Arabidopsis thaliana: one gene and its partner. The protein of the gene in region 1 interacts with the protein of each later gene in a pairwise test. Each region holds a gene or a part of one and is shown in the gene's direction. Other genes may lie near its edges. The genes, in order: LAP6 and ACOS5.

Region 1 (15,868 bases):
ATTTGCGACTGGTGCCGCAGCGACGACCGGAAGCTGAGCAACGTTGCTAGACATGGCGGTTCTTCTTCAAAGAAGCCTTCTTCTTCGGTTAAATATGAAAATGACTTCTCAAACAGATCGGAATATTCGCCCGGCCACCGGATCAAGCATAACAATAACCGTCACGATCAAGTAGCCAAGGGCGTTGCTGGAGATGGAGGCGGAGTTACGTCGCCTAAGACGGCCACACGAAGGTACAAGCTTCTCAAAGATGTCATGTGTTAGTTCCACCTAAACGAGAGGTATTAGAAGACTTACTATAATCATACTACTCTTTCGAGACTGTGTGATTAAATTATGTATAATTAGACTACGGAGAGAGCAAATTAAAAAAGAAAACGTCGTTGTTTGTTTTCATCCTTTTTTCCTTTTTACTTTGTGTTTATATATATGAAATGAATGTGTGTTTGGCGTGAGCTTGTGTTTTCTTAATCACCATATAAGCTATTAATAACTGCAATTTGCGTAAAAGACTCCTTTTTCTTTAAAACCTTTCGTAAAGATCTTTATTAAACTTAACATCCACGTATATATAAATATAGGTCTGGGTTCCTTTAGGTTTCGTCGTTAAATACCATTAATAATGCGAGTACAATCGGAAGTCATCGTGATTCGTGTAAAATCGTATAAATCAAGATACATATCCGCAAACCCTAATTGTCAACAAATGTTAGGGAGGCGTACGCGTGTACATTCACAAAATCAACAAGTACGTGATTTACAATTTGATACGGGAATTAATATGTGGACCAAAGGAATATTATATATATATATTTTTTGTATATAAATACGAACGGTGGGGAAAAACATATACTAGAATGAAAAGAAGAAGTGGGGGTAATAGCTAGCTAGTACTAGAAGCACTTAGTACATGTAATAATAATAAGGGTCGGTCTAAATTAGTATGGTGTATCGACTACGAATCGTACCAATCCTGTCTAAATATCCCGTATGTATAAGAATATATTCGTGTGTACTTATGGAAACAATATTCGTTAAATAATGATACAAACACTGTTTATGAATACAGACAAATAGCCAGCTCCTTGTCCAGTAATTAAATGACACAGCCGTTTTTTTTTTTTTTTTTGATCTTGAAAAATGGAATCCATAACGGGCATCAAAAAGAGTTATATAATCCCATTAGGCCATTCACATACATATGTGATATGCCAACAGAAAAATATATTTCGTAGTAAGTTAGTAGGGAAGAAACAATGGGATTTAAATCATAGTGGGCTCGAAAATTAACTTGTTTGGGTTCCTCAACACTGATACTGGCCCATATAATCACAGCAAGTTTAGAAGAACTTTTTTTGCATCAACGTAACTTATATTGTCCCATAAAATTAAATACACCTTATGTAATATTATCTTTTGAAAAGTTTATTCCACCAACTCAGCATAATATAGTAATCAATTTTTAAAATGTAAGAAAGTAGTATATCATCCATCACCATTATATTGTTATATACTATGGTTATTTGATGTATAGTTTTATAATGAAACTACGGATTTAATGCTCGCAAATACTAGGTGTAACAACTTAAAAGCTTGCACATTTATTTTGTAACAATCTTTTTTTAGGCGTTCCTTTAAAAATGCATGTAAATGTTATCGAACATCCACAAAAATTAGACTGAATAAAATTCATATATTTTACTGAAGTCAAGTCCTCGAGGGACACATCAAACTATTGATTTGATCATCTTTTCTACATAACACTATGCTTTGCATTTGTTAGAACATTTTTTACTTGTATATATAGGCTATTGCTAAACTTTTTATTTTGTGTCGTGATTCTTATAATAAGATTGAGATATACACATGAGATGAAATGAGAAAGTGATAATATATAGTCGTACACGTGGTGACGTAATGATTGAAGCAGTTGTATAATGCTAAGACTTTGGATACTCTCTTCCCAAAGTCCTTGGATGATAAATAAAATGATACAAGTCTCCTCCACATTTGTCTGTAATCATTGACTTTTCAGCACCACAACGCTTTTTCTTTCTTGTCTGTTCATTTTATTTATTTAGTGGATATATAGAAATAAAAATGAGTTGGTTCAATTCAATTAACAAAAATAAATAGGGCGGGACATGAATAAATTACATGAATGTGGACAGTCCGATCCCTGTCACGGCAAAGAGTTAGATAACTTAGGTTGTATAATAAAACATAGGACTTTATGTAACAGCGACATATGCATACACATATAATTGACATAAATCTACTAATACGTAAACTACATAGGAGATGCGAGTGGGGCGGTCCATAATCAGAGAGCCCTAGTCTTCGGAATATCATTCATCAATTTGATCCGTGGCCTAATTAGTGAAAAGGAAGGGATAATAAATAGATAGTATACGAGTGTGTGTAGTGTTATAAATGGTTGGGCCATGCATTTGGGCCTTTATTTTGATGCATCCCCACCACACCGTACCGGGAGGTTAGTGCCAGAAAATGATCACGTGTGGGTGCAGCGCTCTGATGAAAATTAGCTCGCAGACCCAACCACTTTGCCAAAAAATCCAACCCAAATATGACACGTGTGCAAAACGATGGACCCACCCAGCTGGAATCAGGGGAACCAATGGCAAAGTCCTCGTTGAGTTCTTACGGCATAACAATAGCAAGGGGAGGAATGAATATACATATGCAACAAACAATACTCAGATCGGCTCTTTTTATTTCATCATAGCAATTGTTTTATCATGAATTTTGGCAAGTAACAAAAATCAAGTAACGCGGAGCATATATACTACTACTTGGTACTAGCTTGGAAAATCGCTTAATTTTGTCAACGTCTCCTATATCATCCATCCGTTGTGGGGTAGACAAGCATTTACTAATATCACAACCGATCAAAGTGCAAATTATTAATCTCGGTGGGGATACTGATTTAATTTGACAAAAAAATTGTATGATTTTTAGCTTCAAAATGGGGGACAACAACAACCTAATACTACTGTATTTCTTTATATTATTTTGTTTTTAAAAGACGGTAAAACCACGTGGACGTACATTGATCGGTCACTTTCTAAAATATTGGTTTCTTGTAGTTTTATAGGAAAATTCCAGCAGCTCAGCATCAGACAGCAGACAGAGAGAGAGAGAGAGAGTCAATAATTCAGTTCCCCGAAATGAATAAACGATGAACGAACCACCATGCACGAGTACTCTCCCCGGTCTTTGCTTTTACCAGCAATAATATATCAATCACACTTTCAATTTCTTTCTTTTTTTCTTTTGAAGACATCTTTTGAAAATTGTTATTTTTGTAAGGAGATATTGATAATAGAATCAGAAATCTGATATGTTGTTGGTTAATTAAATAAACCTCTACTAAGTCAAAAACAATATGAAAACGACAAACGAAACGAGAGACATGAAATAAAACGTTACACATTACCGACTAATTCAGATGATAGACAGCTAGCATTAACTAGTGATATTGAAGAGTCCTTTGATTTCTCATTTTAAGCATAATATATCATATGAGTAAAGCTTATAACTATCCGCTGGAGAAAAACATTGAATTTGAAGACGAAGACGCTGACGTGGATGAAGACGCTGTCGTTTGGAACTGCCTTTGCCGGAAGCACTCCAGTGATATCGTAGGCGGCGCGTTGGACGACGGTGACGATGACGCTTTAACACCCGAATCGTTCGGTGACTCTGGTCATCATCATCATCACATATTCCCATTTATTAATTAAATGCACACATATATCTAGAGATTATCTTAATTTGAAAGAGGATATATATATATATATATATATGATAAGAGAATTAAGTACGTACTTGGAGTAGTCTTGCCGGTGCCGGTGTCTTGGGTGGCGGAGGCTGATTGGTGACATTTACGGCGGCGGCGGTTATGGTCAGCAAGTCGCTTACGGCAGCTCCGTTTCCCGTTGTCGAATTCCGACAGCAAATGGAACCTGTATTGATTATTTCGATATATATATGTATAAATCAGATGATGATGATGAGATGGAGAATTAGTGATAAGAGTTTGGTTGGTTAGTTAGGGCTAAAATGATTTGGTTGGAAAGGACGAGAGAAAGCCATATCGGGATCCCCCACACCACACAGTACGAACCCTCTCAATGATTGTGTCGATCCTTTAGCAGTGATTGTAAATTAATTAATAAACAAAAAGGGAAGCTAACTAACTAATGAAAAAAAAGGAGATCCAAAGAAGATCTAAAAACTAAGATAGAACAAGATTAAGGATGTACGGACGAAGAGAAGAGAAGATAGCCGAAACCCCACAGCTATAGTATTTTTTTATTTATTTAAAAAAGGTCAAAGGTGGCAACTTTAGGGGGCACAAACCTGCTGCATTGCTGGCAAAACCTTTGGCTTAGTCCGGCGGCTACAACCGTCGATGCTTTTGAGTGGAATTCGCACACTTTGTGCCTTCTGTGGTAGTGTTTCGCGTGGCTCAGATCCGCGTTGCATCCCTCTGCTTGGCACCGCGGCGTGCTCAGCGAGTTCGCCATCCCTGACTCACCTGGTCGAGACCTCCTGTATAGCCTGCTCACGAAGTCGTCGTCCGCCGCTGAGAAGTACGTACGGCCTCCCAGGTTCAGCCCGATCCTGTTGGACGTGAAATCCACTTCTGTCTTGGGGATGAGGAAGTTGTAGGAAGATCCGGATCCCGAGCCCGGTCCTGTCTGGTCGTAGGAGAACAAGGAGGCTGGCGGAGCGGAAGAGTGGGGATGGTAGATGGGATCGGAGGCGCCGTAAGGAGTGGTGGTGGTGGTGGACCCGTACAAGGAGTGGTGGTGATGGTGATGATGAAGAAACTGGTTGTTGCTGTTGGTCTGACCGTAGAGGGTGAGGTGATGCTGTTGTTGTTGGTTAGAGAAGGAAGAGAGGAGGGGAGGAGAAATGGTGATGTGACGGTGGTCGTTGTTGTAATGGGAGATGGGGTCGAAAAAGGAGAAGGATGACCGGGTCGGGTCAGAGTCCGGGTTTCTTTCATCTCCGGAGAGAACGATGGAGGAAGGATTATCCCATTCGTAGTCCAACATGTTGCAATCCCGAGGAAGATCTCTCTCTCTTTCTTTCTTTTGTTTATAAAATCAAGACGGAGTAGTGAAAAAGAGAGAGAGAGGCTAATAAAGGAAAGGGGGAGGAGACATGTCGGTGCGGAATAGGTTATGGAATGGTTTTAATGGACTGAAAGCAAAGCGACGTACTACACCTCTATTAGAATCACACACAGAGACACACTCTCTTTCTTTTTTTCCAATAAACCCTAACTTTCTATTTGTGGGGGTGGATTTCCTTCTCTCTCTATTGCTCTCTCTCCCACCATCTCTCTTAAAGGTCCCTTTTTAAAATTCATTTTTTTTTTGATCTTCTTCTTCGTAAAAAAAAAAGAGAGATAGCTGTCTGTCTTGTCATCTAGCTACTTAAAAAAGTGAAGATGGAGAAGAAAGAAAACTCACATGGGTCGTGAAAGCAGTGTGTGTGTGAGTGTCTGTGCCCTTTTTTACTAAAAACAATTTAAATTATTATTTACCAATCATCTGCCCCTTTTTACTACTAGTATTTTTCAAAGCTTTCTAATTTGTAATCTTAGTAGTACCTACGTAGGATTAATTTGAATATCGAAAAAACGTAACTCACTACTTAGCAACTGTTGATGGAGCCTCTAATTGAACTTTTGTTTGACAAACAAATTAAACACACAAGTATGTATAGACAGACTCTTACTATGTTATTTTTTAACAGCGTATTGTATATATGGATGATACATATATAGCCCCCGCAGGACTTTAAAAAAAAAGAAAGAAAAGGGTCTAGCTAGTATTGGTGGTGATCGTGTGGTTAAGGAAAAAGAAGAGTAAAAAACGCGTTTGTTCTACACTTATTTAATTATGTCGGGACCCGCTTCTGTTCCCCTGCTGGGCCTCTCTCTTACATTTGTTTTCTTTTTTACTAGCGATAAATAAGATATGAGAATGAGATAAATCATCGTAGTCAGTTACAAGTTTATACGTGGTTTTTTTTAAGAATAGAGAGAAATAAAATATCTATTTCAATTAACCACAAAAAAAAAAGGAGGAAAAGGCCAAAAAAGAGAGAGAGATAAGAGGCAAAAACGGTGTTGGGGTTTCGAAAGACAGGATGGCAAAAGTGTAAATAGGTAGCAAGTTGGAGGTTGATCGTTTTAGGGAAGACAGAATGACCGATCGTATCTTGCTAACGTACACCCACTCACCCCCAAACAACAAATTACTATTATTCGCCAACTCTCTCTCTCTCTTCTTTCTCTACCTCACGCGCTGCTATCTCTACTTAATCGAACGGTCCCGATTAATCGGATGGTGATCACGTGGCAGCACAGGGAAGAGAGTAGGGTTAGCTGAGCATAGACGAGAGAGTGAGGTTTTGTAATTGGTAATGGCGTGGGTCCCCTATTTTTAGGTGCTCAAAGGCTGCCATCGACGTTGACCCCCGAAACCGTACGGACTCCTGTCTCTATTATCCTTGCCCCTCTCTCTCTCTCTTTTTTTTTTTTCTAAAACAAATTATAAACCCGAAAACCAAATTTTCTATTTTCATATTTGGTTCTGGGATATATATTTATATGCATAATCCTGTCTTCTACTTTTTTGTTTTTGTTTTAATACAGTGTACAATATTGAAAATAGGAATGCTGCTCCTACTACAACTTATTCTGATGTACATATAGTACGCTGTTAGGAGGCTTTTTTAATTCACTCAAAGTAGTCAATTGATAGTGTACTTATGTATCTACTAAGGCAGTTATCACAATTAAAGTAAACTAACTCCTAATTATAATGAAAAGCTCTCAATCGCTCTAACGATAAGCTATCTTTCTAACTATACCAAAATAAATTAAGAAGTCCCTACATAGTGTGTATACTGTAACATCCATAATTTATTCAACCGATTCCGTTGGTATCCGAGGAATTAACAGTGTATTTTATTAAGAGTAAAAAAGACTGTGCATATATATAAAAATAGAGAAAAAGGCAAAATAAAAGGAGGAGGATAATGTTACACCAAACTTGTTGCCTTGTCAACATCTCTCTCTTAATTTGAGAGATACCCACTTATTGCACTTTCTCACTCATTACCCCCACCTCCTTTCTTCCCTAATTACTGCGCAAGTATTATGCATATGCGATTGTTTTAAACTAGTCCGCAAATTGATTCCCAATGAAAGGGAAACGGAATGTAGTAGATCATCCATACACCACGTCTTGTGTTGGTGCAGTTACAAGTTTACTTCAGGGTTTAACATTATTTTAAAATCTGTATGCAATCAAACAATCTATCTTCAAAAACTTACTGATATGCTATGGATGATGATTAATAGCTAGGACTTAATTATATGCTGTTGCTTCTTCTCCTTTTTTTTTTAAAGTTTAAAACAAAACAAAATATTGTGTCGGGGCCACCTCTATAATTGGGCCTAAAGTAAAGTTATCTAGAACAAAGAGGAGCCCATTTAGATTGGGCCTTAGAGAGTTATAGAATGAAGAAGAAAGGGTTTGTTCTCTTGGTCCGCCGGAAGGGGTGGAGGAGCGGCGGACGTGTGCCGCCATATTTCGCGGCAACTTTCTTCTGCAATGGTATCTTCTGTACCTAAACTCCATGCTTTGTTTGTCTCCAAGTCTCAACCAGTTCTCCGAGCCGCCAAAGTTACCAATGAAGAAAGGTCCACCAAATCAAAACTCGCCAGGTCCTTGGCCCGTGCCGTGAACTCTAACCCGTGGTCGGACGAACTCGAGTCTTCACTATCATCTCTTCATCCGTCCCAAACCATCTCCAGAACCACCGTTCTCCAAACCCTGCGTCTCATCAAGGTCCCTGCGGATGGTCTCCGGTTCTTTGACTGGGTTTCCAACAAGGGGTTTTCTCACAAAGAGCAGTCTTTCTTCCTCATGTTAGAGTTCCTCGGTCGAGCTCGCAATCTCAATGTGGCTCGCAATTTCTTGTTCTCCATCGAGAGAAGGTCTAATGGCTGCGTCAAGCTCCAGGATCGCTACTTCAACAGCTTGATTAGGAGCTACGGGAACGCTGGGCTCTTCCAGGAGTCAGTGAAGCTGTTCCAGACCATGAAGCAGATGGGCATCTCCCCTTCCGTTCTTACCTTCAACAGTCTTCTCTCCATTTTGCTCAAGCGTGGCAGAACTGGAATGGCCCATGACTTGTTCGACGAAATGCGTCGTACCTACGGGGTTACCCCAGACTCCTATACTTTCAATACATTGATAAATGGGTTTTGTAAGAACTCCATGGTCGATGAAGCCTTTAGGATTTTTAAGGATATGGAGCTGTATCATTGCAATCCTGACGTTGTTACATATAACACGATCATCGATGGGTTATGCAGAGCCGGCAAGGTCAAGATTGCACATAATGTTTTGAGTGGAATGTTGAAGAAAGCAACCGATGTGCATCCCAACGTTGTTAGTTACACTACTCTGGTGCGAGGCTATTGTATGAAGCAGGAAATTGATGAAGCAGTGCTTGTGTTTCATGACATGCTGAGTAGAGGGCTGAAACCCAATGCTGTTACTTACAATACTCTGATCAAGGGGCTCTCTGAGGCTCACAGATATGATGAGATCAAAGATATCTTGATTGGAGGGAACGACGCATTTACCACTTTCGCTCCAGATGCCTGCACTTTTAATATTTTGATCAAAGCCCACTGCGATGCTGGTCATTTGGATGCAGCGATGAAGGTGTTCCAAGAAATGCTGAATATGAAGTTGCATCCTGATTCAGCTTCTTATAGTGTTTTGATTCGTACTCTGTGCATGAGAAACGAATTTGATAGAGCTGAGACATTGTTCAATGAGTTATTTGAGAAGGAAGTATTGTTAGGTAAGGATGAATGCAAGCCTCTCGCTGCAGCTTATAACCCAATGTTTGAATACTTATGTGCCAATGGGAAAACAAAACAAGCGGAGAAAGTTTTCAGGCAGCTGATGAAAAGAGGAGTGCAAGATCCGCCCTCTTACAAGACTTTGATAACGGGTCACTGCAGAGAAGGTAAATTCAAGCCTGCTTATGAGCTGTTGGTTCTAATGCTCAGGCGGGAATTTGTACCTGATCTTGAAACTTACGAGTTATTGATTGATGGACTGTTGAAGATAGGTGAAGCTCTTCTTGCTCACGATACCCTACAAAGGATGCTAAGGAGCTCTTATCTTCCTGTTGCAACCACTTTCCATTCTGTACTTGCAGAACTTGCGAAAAGGAAATTTGCTAACGAGTCTTTCTGCTTGGTAACGCTAATGTTGGAAAAACGAATAAGACAGAACATTGATCTTTCAACGCAGGTTGTCAGATTGCTTTTTAGTAGTGCACAGAAAGAGAAGGCATTTCTGATTGTTAGGTTGCTTTATGATAACGGGTATTTGGTTAAGATGGAGGAATTACTTGGTTACCTCTGCGAGAATAGAAAACTACTTGATGCACATACACTTGTTCTGTTTTGTCTGGAAAAAAGTCAAATGGTAGATATCGACACATGCAACACGGTCATAGAAGGACTCTGTAAGCATAAGAGACACTCTGAAGCGTTTAGTTTGTACAATGAATTAGTAGAACTAGGAAACCACCAACAGCTTAGCTGCCACGTGGTTTTGAGGAATGCCTTAGAGGCTGCTGGAAAGTGGGAAGAACTTCAGTTTGTGTCAAAGAGGATGGCTACATTGAGAGAATCAGATGATTGCTCTGTATTAGAATGAAGGATAGACCGTGCATCTGGTTTCTGGTAAACAGGATCCTCTCTCTTTGTTCCGTTTTCAATTCTGTGTCTAAAATTATCCATTGGCAATTGTAAAATTTTTGGCCCTCAGCAATTAAGCAAGTTTGTATTCATCGTGTCTGTTACAGGTCTCTATGGACGTTGCAACTCTCTGTTCCTAACTTTCACCTTCATGGTACCTATTTCCTAAGTAGATTAGGCTTATATTACTTATCCCGGGAAAATAGGTTTCATGGTGTTTTTTGCATTTCTAACCAACACAGGCCAAAGAATCACCAAACCCTAATAAAATAACCGTTTCTCTCTTTACATGATCTTCACTCTTCAGCACCAAACTCTCCCCAAGAAAACCCTCAACCCTTCCTTTATAATCCTTTGCCATTTGCTGATATTCTGCATCCACCATCTTTCTTCCCAATATCTAATTGAGTTTTTTCCTTCTGCGCTTGAAAAGAAATGTCGAATTCTAGGATGAATGGTGTTGAGAAGCTAAGCAGCAAATCCACAAGGCGTGTCGCAAATGCCGGAAAGGCAACACTGCTTGCTCTTGGCAAAGCCTTCCCAAGCCAAGTCGTTCCTCAGGAGAATCTAGTGGAAGGATTTCTACGAGACACCAAATGTGATGACGCGTTTATCAAAGAAAAGCTGGAACACTTGTGTAAGCCTCAGTCTCTTTATATTTTTTTCAGACAGCTATGCTCTCTTGTGAAATGCTGAAAGCTTTCTAATGTTTTGTGCTGTTGTTTAGGCAAAACGACAACCGTGAAGACGCGATACACTGTGTTGACGCGAGAGATACTGGCTAAATACCCTGAGCTAACAACAGAGGGTTCACCAACAATCAAGCAAAGACTTGAAATTGCAAACGAGGCGGTTGTGGAAATGGCATTGGAAGCCAGTTTAGGTTGCATCAAGGAATGGGGAAGGCCAGTGGAAGACATCACTCACATTGTCTACGTTTCCTCAAGCGAGATCCGTTTACCCGGTGGTGACCTTTACCTCTCAGCAAAGCTAGGCCTGAGGAATGACGTGAACAGAGTGATGCTGTATTTTCTGGGATGCTACGGAGGTGTGACTGGCCTCCGTGTGGCCAAAGACATTGCTGAGAACAACCCCGGAAGCCGTGTTCTGCTCACAACCTCTGAAACCACCATTCTCGGATTTCGGCCACCAAACAAAGCGCGTCCGTACGACCTAGTTGGAGCTGCTCTGTTTGGAGATGGTGCAGCTGCTGTGATCATCGGAGCTGACCCGAGAGAGTGTGAAGCTCCTTTCATGGAGCTGCACTATGCGGTTCAGCAGTTCTTGCCGGGGACACAGAACGTGATCGAGGGGAGGTTGACTGAGGAAGGCATAAACTTCAAGCTTGGACGAGACCTCCCGCAGAAGATAGAGGAGAACATAGAAGAGTTCTGCAAGAAGCTGATGGGAAAGGCTGGCGATGAGTCGATGGAGTTCAATGACATGTTCTGGGCTGTTCATCCAGGAGGACCTGCGATTCTGAACCGTCTGGAGACAAAACTGAAGCTGGAGAAAGAGAAGCTGGAGAGCAGCAGAAGGGCGTTGGTGGATTACGGGAACGTGAGCAGCAACACGATACTGTATGTGATGGAGTATATGAGAGATGAGCTGAAGAAGAAAGGTGACGCAGCACAAGAGTGGGGACTTGGCTTAGCTTTCGGACCTGGAATCACCTTCGAAGGCCTTCTCATCCGCAGCCTCACCTCTTCCTAATTGTTATAATTTACATTTGGGTTATAAACATATTGTAAGCATGAAATGAGAGTATTATTTGTTAAACAACATCTATATAGAATAGATGCATGTGACTAGGAATGTTGGAAAAAGTCAAAAGTTGCACCACGTGTCGTTAAAGCAAGTGCTTAGCTACTTGGAACCACATGAACAAGAAGACACCAAACCCGTTACTTCCACTAAAAACAAGGGCTTTCTTCTTTTTAATTCACACCAAAACACTTTGAACACACACATGCATGGAGCCATGAACTCACCATGCATTGATTTCGTAATGTTCAGTCGTGGACAACACGATGAGGACAACATGTCACGTCGTCCTCCGTGGAAGAGGGAGAGATCGATGTCCACTCAGCATCATCATCTTAACTTGTCTCCAAACGAAGACGAAGAGCTTGCCAACTGTCTTGTCTTGTTGTCCAATTCAGGGGATGCGCATGGTGGTGATCAGCATAAACAACATGGACATGGTAAGGGCAAAACCGTCAAAAAGCAAAAAACCGCCCAGGTTTTCCAATGCAAAGCTTGCAAGAAGGTGTTCACGTCGCATCAGGCATTGGGTGGACACAGGGCAAGCCACAAGAAAGTGAAGGGTTGTTTTGCCTCTCAAGATAAAGAAGAGGAAGAGGAAGAGGAATACAAAGAAGACGACGACGACAACGACGAGGACGAAGATGAGGAGGAGGATGAGGAAGACAAATCAACGGCTCATATCGCAAGAAAGAGATCCAACGCTCACGAATGCACCATCTGCCATCGCGTCTTCTCTTCGGGACAGGCCTTAGGAGGCCACAAGCGATGCCATTGGCTAACACCTTCCAATTATCTTCGTATGACGTCGCTCCACGATCATCATCATTCCGTCGGCAGACCGCAGCCGTTAGATCAACCATCTCTCGATCTCAACTTAGCTTGCCAAGAATATTCCGTCGATCCAACGGCCATGAGCGTAGGGATGATCGAGAGAGATGGTGGTGGCAATAATCACAACGCTACTTCATCTTCGTGGTTAAAACTCGCAAGTGGTGATTGGTCTTGACGACTGACTAATTTAATTAAGTTGCTAATTATATTCTTTTAACTTTCATTCGTTTATATTCTTTACATATATACAATTAAGTGCATGAGTTTATATATAGAGTTTATGGATTTATATGAATTACACTTGGCGTCTTCTGCAGATTTAGAGAGCCATAAGGAGTTCTAGTCCAATATATACAAAGATATAAGTAAGAAATTAAGTTTCACAACTAGTTAATATACAAGATAGATAATTGTATCATTTTTTATTATTATATACGTTGAGAATAAAGTAAGATAACCAAGGGCTCCTTGCTCATATAAGCGCAAATGTTTTAATTTCATGTTTGTAATCTTACAGAGTGATATAATTTACTTGTTAAGCCATCAAGAAGGAGATATAATTTTGAAGTTTTCCAGAAAAGAAATTGTAAATTCGAAATTAAGAAATCACAAAGAAGAAAAATATCAAATAAATAAACGAATATCACGTATCAAATAACTCTCGTGATATGCCCATATATATTTTAATCATGTTAATAATCAAAAGGCTCTTACTACACTGAAAACACATGAACATGAGTCAACGCCTCAACGGAATTGATAATTTTGGTGGTTCTTAATTAAGCACCGATTGCAAGGAAAGGGTCATTTCTCTCAATACGATTACAAGAAAAGAGTCATTTTTATCTCGCATATATGTTATTAATGAGTGGTTGCCATTACAAGTTATGAACTTTTGACTTTAGGAAGCCCACCAACCATCAGCTGAAAACTAGGATTAGCGGGGGGAATTTGATTAATGTCAACTGATATCCTCCAATTTCTCTTTGAGAAAAGCTCAAGCAAAGTATATGACTCTTTGGGCCACTCAAAAGATCTTTAATCAATTAACTTGAGGACATGTACTTTAACAACAATTGACACATATAGACACGTACAAGAGTTGCACGCTATTGATACAAGGAAATTTTGGTCTAGTATGAGGTAATAACGTCTCAACGAGATAAGGTTAAAATTATTTAGACATGCTTGGGAAAATATTTTTGTTAGTAGAAATTTGTAGAGTAATGAAATTTAGATTCTTATATTGAAATTTCATCCAAATAAATGACAAGAGGTGAGTCAACACCAAAAGGGCGTGTGAGTATGAGAGTCAAAGATAGCACTAACTATACGATGCGGGAAGTCAGCAGTTTAGTCACACGTGTCAACCTATGATTTAAGGAGAGTTGGTGTATTTGTCACAGAATCATTAAAATTTGGTAAAGTTAGAAATAGAGGGGCCAGTGCTAGTGTTGTTTAGTCGTTACAACAAAACCTCAACGGTTTTTGTTTGCAACTTTACCAAAATGAATACCCTCATCCACAAACTCTTTTCTAATCAACAAAGTATTGAAATTTTCAGTTACATACTAGTATTTACTATTTACATACTAGTATTTTTGGGCTAGTAGAAGAGTGTATTTGAAAAATTAGAGGAGAAAAAAAGTCAGCGTGGAGGAATAAAGGTGTGAGATCGCATGTTACATGTTTGATCAACGGCTCTTCACTTCATCATTCAATACTCTTTTTTTTTTCTTTTTTTTTGGCTCAATCTGTCAATAAAATAAGAAAAACATAACTGATAATTATATATATTTAGAGGCTTATTTGTATTTATGTTTACACAACAGACAGGTCTTTTATTTAGCCGTTTCTGATATTAAAAAAGAAAGTAAACTGCTTTCGTTGATATTCTTAAGTATCCCATTAATTCTTTTCCTTAAAAAGAAAACATTAACTTGTTGTTGGGACTTCGTATATTAGCTTAAGTGTTGGTGGAAGAGTGCTTGTAACCTACTCCGACTTCTTCTTCTTCTTCTTCTTATATTCTCCCTCTCTCTCTCTCTCCTTTTTCTTCTATTTCTGCTCTGTTTTGGTAAATTGAGGAAATGGAAGAGAGGCATAAGTGCAAGTTATGTTGGAAGAGCTTCGCTAATGGAAGGGCTTTGGGAGGTCACATGAGGTCTCACATGCTCATTCACCCTCTCCCCAGTCAGCCCGAGTCATATTCGTCTTCCATGGCTGATCCAGGGTTTGTTCTTCAGGACAGAGAGAGTGAAACCGAGTCGTCCAAGAAGCCCTCCCGCAAACGATCCAGACTTAACCGGAGATCCATCTCATCATTACGTCATCAACAATCCAACGAAGAAGGGAAAAGTGAAACCGCAAGAGCAGCAGATATCAAGATCGGGGTTCAAGAACTCAGTGAGTCGTGTACGGAGCAGGAACCGATGAGTTCGGTGTCGGACGCTGCAACAACGGAAGAAGACGTGGCCTTGAGTCTCATGTTGCTGTCGAGAGACAAGTGGGAGAAGGAGGAAGAGGAAAGTGATGAAGAGAGATGGAAGAAGAAGAGGAATAAGTGGTTCGAGTGCGAGACTTGCGAGAAAGTGTTTAAGTCGTATCAGGCGTTAGGGGGACACAGAGCAAGCCACAAGAAGAAGATAGCAGAAACAGATCAATTAGGCTCAGATGAGTTGAAGAAGAAGAAGAAGAAGAGTACTAGTAGTCACCATGAATGTCCAATCTGTGCCAAAGTCTTCACATCTGGTCAAGCTCTCGGAGGTCACAAAAGATCTCACGCTTCCGCTAATAATGAATTCACGAGAAGATCAGGAATAATAATTAGCTTGATAGATCTAAATCTCCCAGCGCCATCGGAGGAGGAAGAGATGGCCTCGTCGGTTTTTTAATGCTTGATCAGATTGGTCAAACTATAGTAATTACCACCTTTGATTCCAAGTAATGTAGTAAAATTCTCCAAGTGTACGTATTGAGGACAAATTTTGATGTGGTCAAAGAACACAAGTGAGTTAGGTAATGAGGGAAATCATGTGATAGTAGTCGATTTGTGTGGGAAAATGGTAAAGCATGAAAGCGTGATCGAGTGACGTGGTTTGTTGTTGCTCAAGTCGTGTGTTTCGTTATGCCAATGAAATAAAAAAAGAATACCCAAAATTACTTATATACTCTTAAAGAGGGAATTTTGCCGACTAAGAGACAGAGAGACCACCGTAACTTTTGGACAACAAAAAAGCTCTAACGAGTCACGCCTTTAGATTGCACTTTCTTCTTCTTCTTTAAAAAAAGGAAAGAAAACAAAGGTGTAATTGCAGTGGAGTTGTTCCCCAAGTCACAGAGAGAAATCACAGGCAATTTTGGTTATCCCTTAACCGGTCCATCCATATCTGAACCGTCCCGGTACAAAGATCCGTTGGTTTCTGGTTTTGAGATGTC
Region 2 (16,342 bases), about 23 Mb from region 1:
TTATTGAGTTCAGTAAACTGTTGAGTGCCATTGCTAAGATGAACAAGTTCGATCTTGTCATCTCCTTCGGGGAGAAGATGGAGATTTTAGGAATTTCACATAATCTCTATACTTACAATATTTTGATTAACTGTTTCTGTCGATGTTCTCGACTCTCTCTTGCTTTAGCTCTTCTTGGCAAGATGATGAAACTCGGCTATGAGCCCGATATTGTCACGCTTAACTCGCTGCTCAATGGTTTCTGTCACGGGAATAGGATTTCTGATGCCGTAGCTTTGGTTGATCAAATGGTCGAAATGGGATATAAACCCGATACGGTGACATTCACAACTCTAATTCATGGACTTTTTCTTCACAACAAAGCTTCAGAAGCAGTGGCTTTAATTGATCGAATGGTTCAAAGAGGCTGTCAACCAGATCTGGTTACTTATGGTGCGGTAGTTAATGGATTATGTAAGAGAGGTGATACTGATTTGGCTTTAAATCTGCTCAACAAGATGGAAGCTGCGAAAATAGAGGCCAATGTTGTGATCTACAGCACAGTCATAGATAGTCTCTGCAAATATAGACATGAGGATGATGCACTCAACTTGTTCACTGAAATGGAAAACAAAGGAGTTAGACCAAATGTTATCACCTACAGCTCCCTCATAAGTTGCCTTTGTAATTACGGAAGATGGAGTGATGCTTCTCGACTACTCAGTGATATGATTGAGAGGAAAATCAATCCAAATTTAGTCACTTTCAGCGCATTGATTGATGCATTTGTGAAGAAGGGGAAGCTTGTAAAGGCTGAGAAATTGTACGAGGAGATGATCAAAAGGTCCATAGATCCTAATATTTTCACTTATAGTTCACTGATCAATGGGTTTTGTATGCTCGATCGCCTTGGTGAGGCTAAGCAGATGCTTGAGTTGATGATTAGGAAGGATTGTCTACCAAACGTAGTCACTTATAATACGCTTATAAATGGATTTTGTAAGGCTAAGAGAGTAGACAAAGGTATGGAACTCTTCCGCGAGATGTCTCAAAGAGGATTGGTTGGCAACACAGTCACTTACACCACTCTTATCCATGGATTTTTTCAAGCTAGAGATTGTGATAATGCCCAAATGGTTTTCAAACAGATGGTTTCTGTTGGTGTGCATCCCAATATTTTGACATACAACATTCTGTTAGATGGACTTTGTAAAAATGGGAAGCTAGCGAAAGCAATGGTTGTATTCGAGTATCTGCAAAGGAGTACAATGGAACCTGATATTTACACATATAATATTATGATTGAAGGGATGTGCAAGGCAGGGAAGTGGAAGATGGGTGGGATCTATTTTGTAGCCTCAGCCTTAAAGGAGTGAAGCCTAATGTTGTAACCTACACAACAATGATCTCAGGATTTTGTAGGAAAGGTTTAAACAAAGAAGCAGATGCCTTGTTTAGAGATATGAAAGAAGATGGGACTCTTCCAGATAGCGGTTGCTATAAGATGCCATCTTAGAGAATGGTGACAAAGCAGCATCAGCTGAACTCATCAAAGAATTGAGGAGTTGCAGGTTTGCTGGAGATGCTTCAACCTTTGGCTTGGTCACTAATATGTTGTATGGGGAGATTGGACAAAAGCTTTTTGGAAATGCTTTCCTAAACTATCCTTGAAGTGAGTAAGCCTTTTTTAATAAGTTATTACTTCTCAATAGTCAATACAATCCTTATGTTCATGAGTATGCCTGATTAGCTTTCTGTGAACCAGCATTGAAGTTTTAGTGAACATTTTGAGTTGTGATTTGGTTTTTTATCTTCTGTATCCAATATTGTTCATATCTTATAAACGAGACATTCTCAATTATGTTAATCAAATTTGGAAACTTTTATCTTTGTTTCGTGCATTAGGAAACTTGCAAATTGTTAATTTCTCCTATAGAAGAAAATGGTTCTGATGCGAATCATGTATGTACCAGAAGCTGTCTTTGAACAGGTGGAGCTGCATCGCACTCCATTTCACATGGGAACTCTTGTTTTGCAGGCTCAATGACGGTTTCAGAAGATGATATCCAAACTAATGTGAGTATATGAGAGAGTGTAGCAGCTGTAATCTCATCAAATGAAAGATATTTCAGTGTTCAAGTATTACTTCTCAATGCAGTCAGTATGTTCCCATGGTGTAGTTCATTGCACATTGGAACAGTTCGTTCTTTTTTGTGTTGAACTTGAATTACTATCGTTGTTTTTTGTAGTTCCTAGTGGAATTATGAACATGTGTGTGGCTGGACAAACATACACGTAGTACCAGGTTTAGTACTTGAATTATGAACTTGCAGAGATGGTTCAATGGCATAGTTCCCATCGTCAATTTCATTGATTGAATTTCCCTTGCCAGAAATTTCTGTTTTATCATAAATTTTGAGAAGTAGTTTTGGTTTTACGGGGTTTCTTCATTTCTGAAATTAGGGATTTTATTTCAGGGTAAGAAATCCCAAGAAGAAATGAAGAAGAAAGTTAGTACGCATGCATATGGAGCCTGCTCTTCCTTTGAAGATGGACCTTGATAGACCGATTCTTCCTCGGTATGGAATGTTAGATCAGTATCATTATGAAATAATTCCTTTGAATTCCGATGCTTACTCTGCCATTAGATATGAGAATGTATGAAAATCTTCCTTAGGTTCTATAGCATAATGTGAAGATTGAAATATGGTTTGATCAGTTGCTGTTTCTGACTTTTGAAATTTGGTCAGTTAGAAATTTACATGAAACTTCATAATGGTTACATTTGTAGACTACATAGGGTTTTAGATATTCACATAGGGCATTCTCATCTTCAGTTTGGTGAATCAAGCAATTACTATATACCTATTTATCTGGAGTATTCAGGTTTCAGAGACCAACTGGCCCAATTCCCTCGTTGATGCTTGACCTTGAAGTCTACACAGGAGCTATAGATGATTTTGATTTTGAGGATTACTTGAATGGTAATTGTTTTACAGCTCTTTCTCATACTTTTTAGACTGTTTTACACCAAAAAAAAAAGAAACCCTATATATTTGTCTGCTTCTACAATGGTCATTGCTCAAATAGTGACTATCATATACTACTTGCAGTGTGTAAACCAAGCATCCTTGTCTTGCAGAAAGTTGAACTCTTTGAGTATATAAGAGAAAAACTGTTTAGACTTGTTTCTTTTCTTAGTTTCACCATTTTATGGGTTGTTCTGATAAGTAGTATCTACTCCGCAGATCCTCGAGAATCCAAGATGCTCAAACCAGTTGACTTCCACCACCACGTCATGGAAGTTGGGGTTAGTCTCTCCAAAGGCCCAGCTTAACCAAGTTCCTTGTAGGTCAAAACAGTTTATACTTTATAATGCCATCAAAGTATTGAAACTGGACTCTACTTGTATGTTTGTGCAGCCTAACGCTGGGGAAATGATCCTTGCAGCGCCGTCATCAAGTTCAGGGACCAAAACTCTTGTCGAAAGCTTCAACAATAAGTCTGGTGACTAATATATAAATAGCTGATTTGGATAGTGTGAGATCAACATGGTGTTGCTAGACAAGTGTGCAGAATGAGATAATTTTATATTAGAACAGCCATGTATTTTCTTGTGATGTTTCATGTTCTTAACTTCTCTTATTTACACGGTTCCTTTTTGAGCTGCTACTGACCATGAGAGGTGTTATGTGTTTAACGCAATAACTTTTTGTTAGTGCCTTGAAATATATGTTTTCTCATGTAAGTTGTCCTTGTAACTAAGCTTTTCATAATTGATGACATCAGTACTGATCTTTTTACTTTTATTTTTGTTAATGATATATTATAACCTCGAGAATTTTCTCATATGTAGACGAAATCTTGGAAAAACTTCTGGTACGTATTATTTTCTTAACTCTTGGCATCTTATTTTTGAAATCAGGTGTTTAGGTCAATAGCGGAAACAGAGCCTAGTGATGTGAAGTTAGGGCTGGACTTGGTGAGCTCTATGAAGGAAGAGCTTGAGTTATGTCCTTCAACATGCTTGTGCCAATGCCAAATATAAGCAGAACGCTAGCTCTACCTGTATGGAAAGAGTACAAATTTGAAGAACTTCCTTACAATGTCCTCACAAGTATTTAATGCAAGAGCTCTTTTATCTCCTACATTTAAAAGAATGATTTTGAACTTTTCTTAGTCATCGTATCTAAAAGAGTGGCTTTTTCTTAGTAGAGAGTTCTTTTTTTTTTTTTGATAAATCCTATCGACTAATCCGGTCAGCCTCGGTAGAAACGCACCGAAGTACTTCAGAGTAGACTTCTCCCCGAAAGACCACACTGTCTGTCTCGAGTTTGGAATTCTTAGTAGAGAGTTTAATAGGGCACATCTTAGAGATGGTGACAAGGAAAAGTTTACTCTTAAAAATGTTCATAAAAGCAAGGTTTATTAAAACTGAAAATTGCAAGTGTTGTTCTTCCGTCTAATGGTTTATTTATCTGATTCTCGTATTGACAATATGGAGATAATGTTTCTGTTTATGGAAAAGCAAGGTGAAGAGGCATCTTTACCTACGCTCATAAACCTGAACAAAAGAGACATTAACTGAACAATATTAAACCAAATCGTACCAGAGAAGAGAAGTCAGAGTGAACCGGTCGGTTATTAAAACTGGAATATTTAAGAAGAAATCTTGACCGTCAAAATTACCAAAATGATCCAACGGCGCAGAAACGCGAGATCCCTCCGTCTTCAAGGTTAAACAATAATGACAAGTTGTGTTCATTTAGGGATTGTCGCATCACAATCGAAGAAGATGAGTTTGGCGAAGAGATTTGCTCAGCTGAGGAAAGCTTCTCCATTGTTTTCCCTTCGAGGTGTCTATTTCTCTGCTGCGAGTTATGACTACAGAGAGAAATTGAGTAGAAATGTGTTGCTCGATTTGAAGCTAGATGATGCGGTTGATCTGTTCGGTGAGATGGTACAGTCTCGTCCTTTACCTTCCATTGTTGAATTCAATAAACTGTTGAGTGCCATTGCTAAGATGAACAAGTTTGATCTTGTCATCTCTCTCGGCGAGCGGATGCAAAATCTGAGGATTTCATATGACCTCTATTCGTACAATATTTTGATTAACTGTTTTTGTCGACGCTCTCAACTCCCTCTTGCTTTAGCTGTTCTTGGCAAGATGATGAAACTCGGCTATGAGCCCGATATTGTCACGCTTTCTTCGCTCCTCAATGGGTACTGCCACGGTAAGAGGATATCCGAGGCTGTAGCTTTGGTTGATCAAATGTTCGTAATGGAGTATCAACCCAATACCGTCACATTTAACACTCTAATCCATGGGCTTTTTCTTCACAACAAAGCTTCCGAAGCAGTGGCTTTAATTGATCGAATGGTTGCCAGAGGGTGTCAACCAGATCTATTTACTTATGGTACCGTAGTAAACGGATTATGTAAGAGAGGTGATATTGATTTGGCTTTGAGTTTGTTAAAGAAGATGGAGAAAGGGAAAATAGAGGCTGATGTTGTGATCTACACCACTATCATTGATGCTCTTTGCAACTACAAAAACGTGAATGATGCACTCAATCTGTTCACTGAAATGGATAACAAAGGAATTAGACCAAATGTTGTTACCTACAACTCCCTCATAAGATGCCTTTGTAATTACGGAAGATGGAGTGATGCTTCTCGACTACTCAGTGATATGATTGAGAGGAAAATCAATCCAAATGTAGTCACTTTCAGCGCATTGATTGATGCATTTGTGAAGGAAGGGAAGCTTGTAGAGGCTGAGAAATTGTACGACGAGATGATCAAAAGGTCTATAGATCCTGATATTTTCACTTATAGTTCACTGATCAATGGGTTTTGTATGCACGATCGTTTAGACGAGGCCAAGCACATGTTTGAGTTGATGATTAGCAAGGACTGTTTCCCAAACGTAGTGACTTACAATACTCTTATAAAGGGATTTTGTAAGGCTAAGAGAGTAGAAGAAGGTATGGAACTCTTCCGCGAGATGTCTCAAAGAGGATTGGTTGGCAACACAGTCACTTACAACACTCTTATCCAAGGGTTATTTCAAGCTGGAGATTGTGATATGGCTCAAAAAATATTCAAAAAGATGGTATCTGATGGCGTGCCTCCCGATATCATAACATACAGCATTCTGTTAGATGGACTCTGTAAATATGGGAAGCTGGAGAAAGCATTGGTGGTATTCGAGTATCTGCAAAAGAGTAAAATGGAACCTGATATTTACACATATAATATTATGATTGAAGGGATGTGCAAGGCAGGGAAGGTGGAAGATGGGTGGGATCTATTTTGTAGCCTCAGCCTTAAAGGAGTGAAGCCTAATGTAATAATTTACACTACAATGATATCAGGATTTTGTAGGAAAGGTTTAAAGGAAGAAGCAGATGCCTTGTTTAGAGAAATGAAAGAAGATGGGACTCTTCCAAATAGTGGTACCTATAATACGCTGATTAGGGCACGCCTTAGAGATGGTGACAAAGCAGCATCAGCTGAACTCATCAAAGAAATGAGGAGTTGCGGGTTTGTTGGAGATGCTTCAACAATAAGTATGGTGATTAATATGTTGCATGATGGGAGATTGGAAAAAAGCTATCTGGAAATGCTGTCTTGAAACAATCAATCCTCGAGAAACGAATTGGGGAGCAACCATCTTCCCTTGTGATTGCATATGTGAGGTGAATCGCCTTTTTTAGATAGCTATTCTTGTGTTTACTTCTGGACCCGTTTTCATGTTAAATTTGTTCTTGTTGTTGTTGAGTGTAAGTTTCGTGGACATGACTGGTACAGTTCTCTGCAGTCAGTATGTTCTCATGTTGATATAGATTTGTTTCTTGTCTAATCGATGATTTATCACCTGAATAGTATTCTTCCAGATTGGTTAAGTTCATACGTTCAAAGAAATTTAAAGACCACGCTCCTTATTCGACTGATTGATCGATGAAATAGCAGATCCATCAGTCATAAACGGCGCTGAAGAAACACATTAACACACCAAATTTATGTACCACACGACAACAATTTCTTCATATGTACAGACTACAGAGAGAAAAACAGAGTTTTGAAAAGATCAGACAAACAATTTGTCGGTTCGTCTCTCTTCTCTCCATCCATTGTAAACGTTTGCAATGTAATCTTCAATCCTGCTCGTCAATGTGTCATCATCAACATCATCACCATAGGCATGATTATCATCATCATCACGGTTTTCAATACCATCATCACCACCATCTTGATTACATTGGCTAAAATCTTCATCATCGTTCCATATACAACCATCATTATCAACTTCATCAAAACCATCATAATAGCTAAAACAATCATCATAGTAATATCTTGTGAAATCACAACATTCTCTGTTCTTGTCTATGATTTCACCATCAAGCATATTGTCTTCTTGAAAAGTGTACAAAACATAGAAATCTCCGGTTTCTTCATAAACAGAGCGATTACGATCGATGATAAGTAAGAAAAGAATCGTACAGAGGAAAAAGAAAAGAAGAAGAGGATTGTTGAAATATCTCAAGAAGAAAAAGAGCATTAGTGTTGAAACAATTGTTCTCCAGATGATCTCCATGACATTGATTATAATGTTCAACATCTTCATCTGGACTCTATCTATATCAATAAAAGAGTAACTTTCCGGGAAAAAACCATGAATTCTGCTGAGATAATGAGTGGAAAAAGTCTGTTGTGTGAAGTTATTGTAAAACTTAACATATATAAAATAAAGGTTTTAATATTCTAAGGATGTGTTGTACACATGTCTGTTTCTTGCTGCGCAAGTTCTAAGAATTTGTGTATGTGTACCTTTAGTATTAATATATATGTTCTTGAGAGAGAAGTTTACGATTCTTGAAGTGGGACACAATGAGTTTTTAAGTTATGATTGTAACAAGTATGTCATTTATCTCATTTTAAAAGTATGTTTTTCTAATATTTAAATCTATATATGTAGATGAGAATATAAAAAATATGGTGTAGTTTAATTTAAGGTTTTTGTGATCCTTACTCTAAGATCATCAAAGTATGAACATGCCAATAACAATAATAATTCGTATTGAAGAACTTTGCACAACCTATTTATAGGACCTAAACCCTTAAATCCCCACCATTGTATAAAATCTTCCAAATCAAGAATAAAGTAAGATTCAAAATTCTAATCATACCACATTTTCTACGTACATTTCATCTAGATCAAACCTTTTCTACCATGCATCTCCAAAGGAATTGAATCCTTAAGCCAACTCACGTGAAATCGAATAATCCATTCTCGCTTCTAAGTTGAGAAAATCCAATATTTCACGTTCTAGAATCATGACGTACGCGTGACATTTAGAAATGAGACCTTAACCTTTTAAAAGTCATTGATAAAACATTACAATATAGTTTCTTTTATAAGTAGTACAAGAAAACTTTGTATTTATAATCTCGGTAATATGATCGTAGTAGAGAATGTTTAAGAAAGAATACATTAATTTGTATGAACAAAATACTTTTGAAGATGTTTTTTTATTGGACTCCATAAATAATAAATTCAGATATTTTCACATCATTTCCATGACTCAACAAAACTCTACCTACAATATGTCTAAGAGAGTCAAAGACTATCATCCTCTTCTATAACCAAAAATTGGTTTGCACACACATGACATGACATGAACAAGAAACTACTCTCCTATTTATATTCACTCTAGAGCCGGCCCTGTTCCTAACACATAAATCAAATTCAATTCGTTTAAAAATGGAGAGTCAAAAGCAAGAAGATAATGAATACATTTTCCGCAGTTTGTATCCATCTGTGCCCATTCCTGACAAACTTACACTGGTAATTAATATAGCTAAGAACAGTTTTTCATTTCCGGTTTCGGTTTATTATAATTTAGGTTAAGATTCGGTTTATAAATACTAATGGAATTAACTAATGGCTATGTGAAAAAAGCCTGAATTTGTGCTCCAAGGAGTTGAAGAATACACAGAGAATGTAGCGTTTGTAGAAGCGGTGACCGGAAAAGCTGTGACGTACGGTGATGTAGTGAGGGACACAAAGAGGCTAGCCAAAGCGTTGACATCTCTCGGACTAAGGAAAGGTCAAGTGATGGTTGTGGTCCTACCAAACGTCGCCGAGTATGGGATTATTGCCCTTGGTATTATGTCTGCCGGTGGAGTCTTCTCCGGTGCAAATCCGACGGCTCTTGTTTCCGAGATCAAGAAGCAAGTTGAAGCTTCCGGTGCTAGAGGAATCATCACTGATGCTACTAACTATGAAAAGGTAATTAAACATTACTGTTTTCTATATGATTTGGAAAACTTTTTAACCAGCAAATGTATGCACATGATAATTTCGTTCGGTTTGGTTGCTGCAATATATGGTATAGACTAAAAACCAAACCGACATAATTCCACAGCCAAGCTGAACTAAACCAACCAATCACCAAACTCGATTTATTTGTGAAACATTTACTGTTTGTTTTGGACAGGTGAAATCACTAGGTTTACCGGTGATAGTGTTAGGTGAAGAGAAGATAGAAGGAGCAGTAAACTGGAAAGATCTTCTAGAAGCAGGAGACAAATGCGGAGATACCGACAATGAAGAGATTCTTCAGACAGATCTTTGTGCACTTCCTTTTTCTTCAGGAACAACAGGATTACAAAAAGGAGTAATGCTCACACATCGCAATCTCATAGCCAATCTTTGCTCTACTCTCTTCGGTGTCAGGTCTGAAATGATCGGTCAGATCGTGACGCTTGGTTTGATCCCATTCTTTCATATTTACGGTATCGTTGGCATATGTTGTGCTACAATGAAGAATAAAGGCAAAGTTGTTGCTATGAGTCGGTACGATCTAAGGATTTTCTTGAATGCTTTGATTGCTCATGAGGTTTCGTTTGCGCCTATAGTTCCGCCGATTATATTGAATCTTGTTAAGAATCCGATAGTTGATGAGTTTGATCTTTCGAAGCTTAAACTTCAGTCTGTCATGACTGCTGCTGCTCCTTTAGCTCCTGAGCTTCTTACTGCCTTCGAAGCCAAGTTTCCTAATGTCCAAGTCCAAGAGGTAAGACTTAAGACTTTTATGTTAGTTATTACCTTATTATTCATGTTCAATGATGTTTTGATTGGTTATATATATATATATATATTAGGCTTATGGATTAACGGAGCATAGTTGCATTACGTTAACTCACGGAGATCCAGAGAAAGGACAAGGAATCGCGAAACGAAACTCGGTTGGTTTCATACTTCCGAATCTCGAGGTAAAGTTCATAGATCCTGACACCGGTAGATCACTCCCGAAGAACACTTCTGGTGAGCTATGTGTGAGGAGCCAATGTGTAATGCAAGGTTACTTCATGAACAAGGAAGAGACTGACAAGACAATTGATGAACAAGGTTGGCTTCACACAGGAGACATAGGTTACATCGATGATGATGGAGACATCTTCATCGTTGATCGTATCAAAGAACTTATTAAATACAAAGGTTTTCAGGTAAAATGTTTATACCAAAGATTAAACATAATTCTTCCTTGTTTCATATTGGCCGGATTTTCAAAGTTGAAGCTTTTCCAATAGGTTGCTCCGGCCGAGCTTGAAGCTATTCTACTCACTCATCCATCCGTTGAAGACGTTGCCGTCGTGCCGTGAGTATCTATATAAATATATTGCCCTAATGATTTCTTGAAACTGATATATTAAAACATGAAATGAAAAGGTTACCGGACGAGGAAGCCGGGGAGATTCCGGCGGCTTGCGTGGTGATAAATCCGAAAGCGACAGAAAAGGAAGAAGACATTCTCAACTTTGTTGCAGCAAATGTGGCTCATTACAAGAAGGTTAGAGCCGTCCATTTTGTGGATTCAATCCCTAAATCTCTCTCTGGTAAAATCATGAGGAGGCTTCTTAGAGACAAGATCCTCAGCATCAACAAGAAGTAGAAGAAAGAAAACTCTTACAAGCTTTTAATTAATCTACTTTGATTTAAGAATGTCCTTGAACAATAAATACTCTTTGTGGTTTTTATTATTGCTCCTTGATTAGGAAATTCTACAGTTCAATTCTGCACCGCGCAACAACTAAAAAGATTAAACTATCTCCTCGAAAGATTTTAATCAAAACATTGATATAACTCACGGAACAACAATTTTAAACCGCAAAAACACGCTGCTTTCTCATGCTGTAAAAAGTTATACTGTAGAATTAGATATTGAACTGACTTACTTTCATTAATTCGCAAACTATGAGTATTTATTCACAATGAACTCAACAAGATATAAACACAAACTCCTAAAATATAGGACATAAACTCTATCACCAAAGATATCGTACTAATCTAATTCTCAATTTTTAATCTTCATAGTTCCTTATTATATAACCAAGATAATAGTTGTCTAGTTGAAACTTGAAATAGCTCAAGGATGGAGAATTTATCGTCTTTCACTTTACTTTTCTTTTATTCAACTTTCTCACTTTCTCCAATGTATAACTACTTCAGTACTTCAATACTCACTAGACCAGGGAAAATGTATGAAATTTCAATTGTATATTTGTATGCATGCTTTAGATATTTATTTTTTTCCAAGATTCAGATTATATCGAAGTAACATTTTTTGTAATTGTGGGCATTGGTCAAACACCTAGTACTTCTGTTTTATGTCAGACTTGAAGAATCTAGAGAATCTTAGGAACAGTAGTCAGACTTTGATGTTTCGAAATATACAAATATAAACAGTACCGTACTTAATCAACGGTCATATTATAAATTCATACAAATAAAAGACAACGGGGTATTAAATACTGAAGATTAGAGAACATTTTAAGTCTTTTATGGATTTATGATTCAGTGATTCAAAGACTCACAGTGCAATATTGATGTATCTAGGAATTTACACTAAGAAATCGACAGTGATTATAAATAGTACTCAGTTGCTTGGACAAAACTAAAGATTTATAAAGAAAAATCCGACAAAAGGCATAATTGGGAATTGAACTCTTTTTTGACAAGAAACTTTGGAATGAAGTTTTGTTGTTGTTCAAGCATAGTTTTTTTTTTTAATATGAGTAATTTTGAATTTACTGCACTGTTCTAGGTTTCCGACCTAAAGGGATTATTTGATAAATCTTTAAACATTTACTAGTATTACATACTCCTTCCGTGTCAGGTATCACTTTAATTAAGTGATGTTCACTATATTTAAGTTTGTCTTTTGGTGTATGTTTTTATATTAGTTGAGTTCATTTTGGGATGTTCAAATAATTAGTTCCGCCAATTTCTAGCAAAACAAAGAACAGAAAAAGCTTTTCCTTATAGATTTTAAACTTTTGTATGGAAGAAGTCTACAAAACCGGAAAATAAAGGGTGAGAAATTTAATTTATCCATTAATTTTTGTGGGATTACGAATTCGAAAACCATTTTTGTGGGAATACGAAAACCACTTTGAAGGTTTAAAGTAACAATTTTTTTATTTTGATGGTTTATTGTGAGAGTTCAAAATCTTGAAAGTTTTTAAAGTGTAAGTTGTTGCTACTTTGAAGGTTTTTTATAAGATTTTTCGGTAAAATAATCTTATTCTCATTAAATAATAAATAATACAATTAAGGTTTTATATACAATTGATAAAGGTCTAAACCAGAAGCCACTAAACGGAAAATCTAAGACTGGTTTATACAATACCAATTTGTATAGACTCTCTATGAACTATTGTATATACAACATTTCTATGCAATCAAAAGCTATATACAATAATATTGATATCACTTAATCAAATTCACAATGTTAGACTTGTTTTGCGAAATATCATTAATTTGAAAACTAATTCTATAATTAGATAATATTTTTAGAATTTTTGATTAAAAAAATCTACATTTCGTATCATTCATAAATAACTTAAAAACTGTAGAATCACAAACATGATCAAATTATACATAAAAATTTATTTTATCTTATTTATAGTTTCTGAAATACATTGATGGAAGGGTTTGATTGGTGTAGGCAACAAAGAATAAATGCTTGATGGTACAAGACAAACAGACACCTTCTTCTCCCACTCTTAAATTACACACACTTACTTACACACACATAAGCTTGCACGTGGTTCTTGTTCACATGGTGGAAGCCACAGATGTATATAGAGAGACAGAGAGAGAGAGGAAACAAAACCAAACCTTTTGCTGCAGAAGAGACAGACTATTAAATTGCTTCACCTGCTTTACTTACTTTCCAGCCAAGGCACACTCTCCACGCACTCATCTTTTCTCAAATCTCTCTCTATATAGATTTGTGTCCAGAAATTAATGGGTTTGGTTCGGAAACTTATGACTGGTAATACCCAGATCTTATTCTATGTTTCTTGAAACTCTCTTCTCGAGGCAAATGCAGCTACTTCTTCATGCTTTTGTTCTTCTTCTTCTTCGTTTATCAAGAAATTGTTAACGAAATAGCTTAACCGGGTTTGAGTTCGGTTTAGGATCCGATAACCGCAAATGCAGATTGGGAAATTGATTTGGGTAATAATGTTCATATTCGTTCACATTATTATTACATCATCTCGAAGTTTCTCGGATTCTATTATTACCGAACGAGAGATTCTACTTCAATTCAAAGACAACATCAACGATGATCCGTACAACAGTTTAGCTTCTTGGGTCTCTAATGCTGACCTCTGTAACAGCTTCAATGGTGTATCTTGTAACCAAGAAGGATTCGTCGAAAAGATCGTTCTTTGGAACACTAGTCTCGCCGGAACCCTAACGCCGGCATTGTCTGGTTTAACTTCTTTAAGGGTTTTGACTCTGTTTGGCAACAGGATTACAGGTAATTTACCTTTGGATTACTTAAAGTTACAGACTTTATGGAAGATCAATGTTAGTTCCAATGCATTGTCTGGTTTGGTTCCTGAATTTATCGGTGATTTGCCTAATTTAAGGTTCTTGGATTTGTCGAAAAATGCGTTCTTTGGAGAGATTCCAAATTCTCTGTTTAAATTCTGTTACAAGACAAAGTTTGTTTCATTGTCTCATAACAATCTCTCAGGATCAATCCCTGAATCAATCGTAAACTGTAACAATCTCATTGGTTTCGATTTCTCTTACAATGGCATTACCGGTTTGTTGCCTCGGATCTGCGATATTCCGGTTCTTGAGTTTGTATCTGTTAGAAGAAATTTGTTGTCTGGTGATGTGTTTGAGGAGATATCGAAGTGTAAGAGATTGAGTCATGTCGATATAGGAAGCAATTCTTTCGATGGAGTAGCGTCTTTCGAGGTTATTGGATTCAAGAACCTGACTTATTTTAATGTGTCTGGAAACCGGTTTAGAGGGGAGATTGGTGAGATTGTTGATTGTAGTGAAAGTTTGGAGTTTTTGGATGCTTCTTCGAATGAGTTAACTGGTAATGTACCTAGCGGTATAACCGGATGCAAAAGTCTTAAGCTTTTGGACTTGGAATCGAATAGGCTCAATGGGAGTGTACCTGTAGGTATGGGGAAGATGGAGAAGCTCTCTGTGATCAGGTTAGGCGATAACTTTATAGATGGGAAGCTACCACTTGAGCTCGGAAATCTTGAGTATCTACAGGTTTTGAATTTGCATAATCTCAATCTCGTTGGTGAAATACCAGAGGATTTATCAAACTGCAGACTACTTCTTGAACTGTGAGTCTTTGTATCTCTTCTATGCTGATATTTAGTGAGTTTTTGATTCGTTTATCTAACTTTTTAGTTTTGTTAATCTTTGTTGTTTGTTGTAGAGATGTTTCTGGAAATGGTTTGGAAGGAGAGATCCCTAAGAATCTATTGAACTTAACAAACTTAGAGATTCTTGATCTGCATCGGAACCGAATCAGTGGAAACATTCCGCCTAATCTCGGGAGCCTCTCGAGAATCCAGTTCCTCGATCTTTCAGAGAATTTGCTTTCTGGTCCTATCCCGTCTTCCCTCGAGAATTTGAAAAGACTGACTCATTTCAATGTTTCTTACAACAACCTCTCCGGCATTATCCCAAAGATTCAAGCTTCGGGAGCTTCTTCGTTTTCCAACAACCCTTTCCTCTGCGGTGATCCTCTTGAAACACCGTGCAATGCTCTCAGAACCGGATCAAGATCAAGAAAAACCAAAGCTCTAAGCACCTCTGTTATCATTGTTATCATCGCTGCTGCTGCGATCTTGGTTGGTATCTGTCTAGTGCTTGTCTTGAACCTTAGAGCTCGTAAAAGACGGAAAAAGCGTGAAGAAGAAATAGTCACTTTTGATACCACAACACCCACTCAGGCTTCAACGGAATCTGGTAATGGTGGTGTAACATTTGGGAAACTTGTTCTATTCAGCAAGAGTTTGCCTTCAAAATATGAAGATTGGGAGGCAGGTACGAAAGCATTGCTCGACAAGGATAACATTATCGGTATTGGATCAATTGGAGCGGTTTATAGAGCATCTTTCGAAGGCGGGGTTTCCATCGCAGTGAAAAAGCTCGAGACTCTAGGTAGAATCAGAAACCAAGAAGAGTTTGAGCAAGAAATAGGAAGGCTTGGAAGTTTAAGTCACCCGAATCTTGCTTCTTTTCAAGGTTACTACTTTTCCTCCACAATGCAGTTAATTCTTTCTGAATTTGTCACAAACGGAAGCTTGTACGATAATCTACACCCGAGAGTCTCCCATAGAACTAGCAGTAGCAGCAGCAGCCATGGAAACACCGAGTTAAATTGGCATAGAAGATTTCAAATAGCAGTAGGAACCGCAAAGGCGCTTTCTTTTCTTCACAACGATTGTAAACCCGCGATTCTTCATCTCAATGTAAAGTCTACCAACATACTCCTTGATGAAAGATACGAGGCAAAGCTATCAGATTACGGTTTGGAAAAGTTTCTTCCGGTTTTGAACAGCTCCGGTTTGACTAAGTTCCACAATGCGGTTGGATACATAGCTCCAGAGCTAGCTCAGAGTTTGAGAGTGAGTGACAAATGTGATGTTTATAGCTATGGTGTGGTTCTTCTTGAGCTTGTTACAGGTAGAAAACCAGTGGAGTCGCCGTCTGAAAACGAGGTTGTGATCTTAAGGGATCATGTGAGGAATTTGTTGGAGACAGGTTCGGCTTCTGATTGTTTTGACAGAAGATTGAGAGGGTTTGAAGAGAATGAGCTGATTCAAGTGATGAAATTAGGTTTGATTTGCACAACAGAGAATCCATTAAAGAGACCGAGCATTGCAGAGGTTGTGCAGGTTCTTGAACTGATCAGAAATGGAATGGAATCATGAAAAGAACTCGTTTATTTTTGCAGAGAAATTGTGTAGTGTTTACTGTTAAGTTCATTCATTTGTGATTCTTTTGTCTGTTTTGTTGCTA

Evidence for each region.
Region 2: the proteins of LAP6 (region 1) and ACOS5 interact in binary tests that used the Arabidopsis thaliana proteins (3 or more experiments, as listed by UniProt).

The regions. Positions count from the first base shown.
Region 1 is NC_003070.9:354,841-370,708, reverse strand, and holds LAP6 (Chalcone and stilbene synthase family protein), read left to right. Parts: upstream 1-9,962; 5' UTR 9,963-10,267; coding exon 10,268-10,469; intron 10,470-10,559; coding exon 10,560-11,545; 3' UTR 11,546-11,592; downstream 11,593-15,868. Other genes in the region: AT1G02070 (zinc ion-binding protein), read left to right, coding at 1-264; AT1G02067 (uncharacterized protein), read left to right, coding at 3,543-3,764; SPL8 (squamosa promoter binding protein-like 8), read right to left, coding at 3,560-3,723, 3,850-3,986, 4,384-5,084; AT1G02060 (Tetratricopeptide repeat (TPR)-like superfamily protein), read left to right, coding at 7,659-9,791; AT1G02040 (C2H2-type zinc finger family protein), read left to right, coding at 11,631-12,605; AT1G02030 (C2H2-like zinc finger protein), read left to right, coding at 14,521-15,324; AT1G02020 (nitroreductase family protein), read left to right, coding at 15,864-15,868. UniProt on the Arabidopsis thaliana protein: Plant type III polyketide synthases (PKSs) that catalyzes the condensation of malonyl-CoA units with various CoA ester starter molecules to generate a diverse array of natural products including long-chain alkyl alpha-pyrones.
Region 2 is NC_003070.9:23,301,808-23,318,149, forward strand, and holds ACOS5 (acyl-CoA synthetase 5), read left to right. Parts: upstream 1-8,724; 5' UTR 8,725-8,746; coding exon 8,747-8,830; intron 8,831-8,944; coding exon 8,945-9,274; intron 9,275-9,482; coding exon 9,483-10,061; intron 10,062-10,149; coding exon 10,150-10,494; intron 10,495-10,578; coding exon 10,579-10,646; intron 10,647-10,717; coding exon 10,718-10,940; 3' UTR 10,941-10,988; downstream 10,989-16,342. Other genes in the region: AT1G62914 (pentatricopeptide (PPR) repeat-containing protein), read left to right, coding at 1-1,355; AT1G62915 (uncharacterized protein), read right to left, coding at 1,434-1,640, 1,950-2,080, 2,126-2,171; AT1G62920 (proteasome maturation factor), read left to right, coding at 2,506-2,637, 2,873-2,963, 3,214-3,486, 3,921-3,987, 4,243-4,402, 4,508-4,567; RPF3 (Tetratricopeptide repeat (TPR)-like superfamily protein), read left to right, coding at 4,727-6,616; AT1G62935 (uncharacterized protein), read right to left, coding at 7,073-7,603; AT1G62950 (leucine-rich repeat transmembrane protein kinase family protein), read left to right, coding at 13,487-14,655, 14,751-16,254. UniProt on the Arabidopsis thaliana protein: Carboxylate--CoA ligase that may use 4-coumarate as substrate.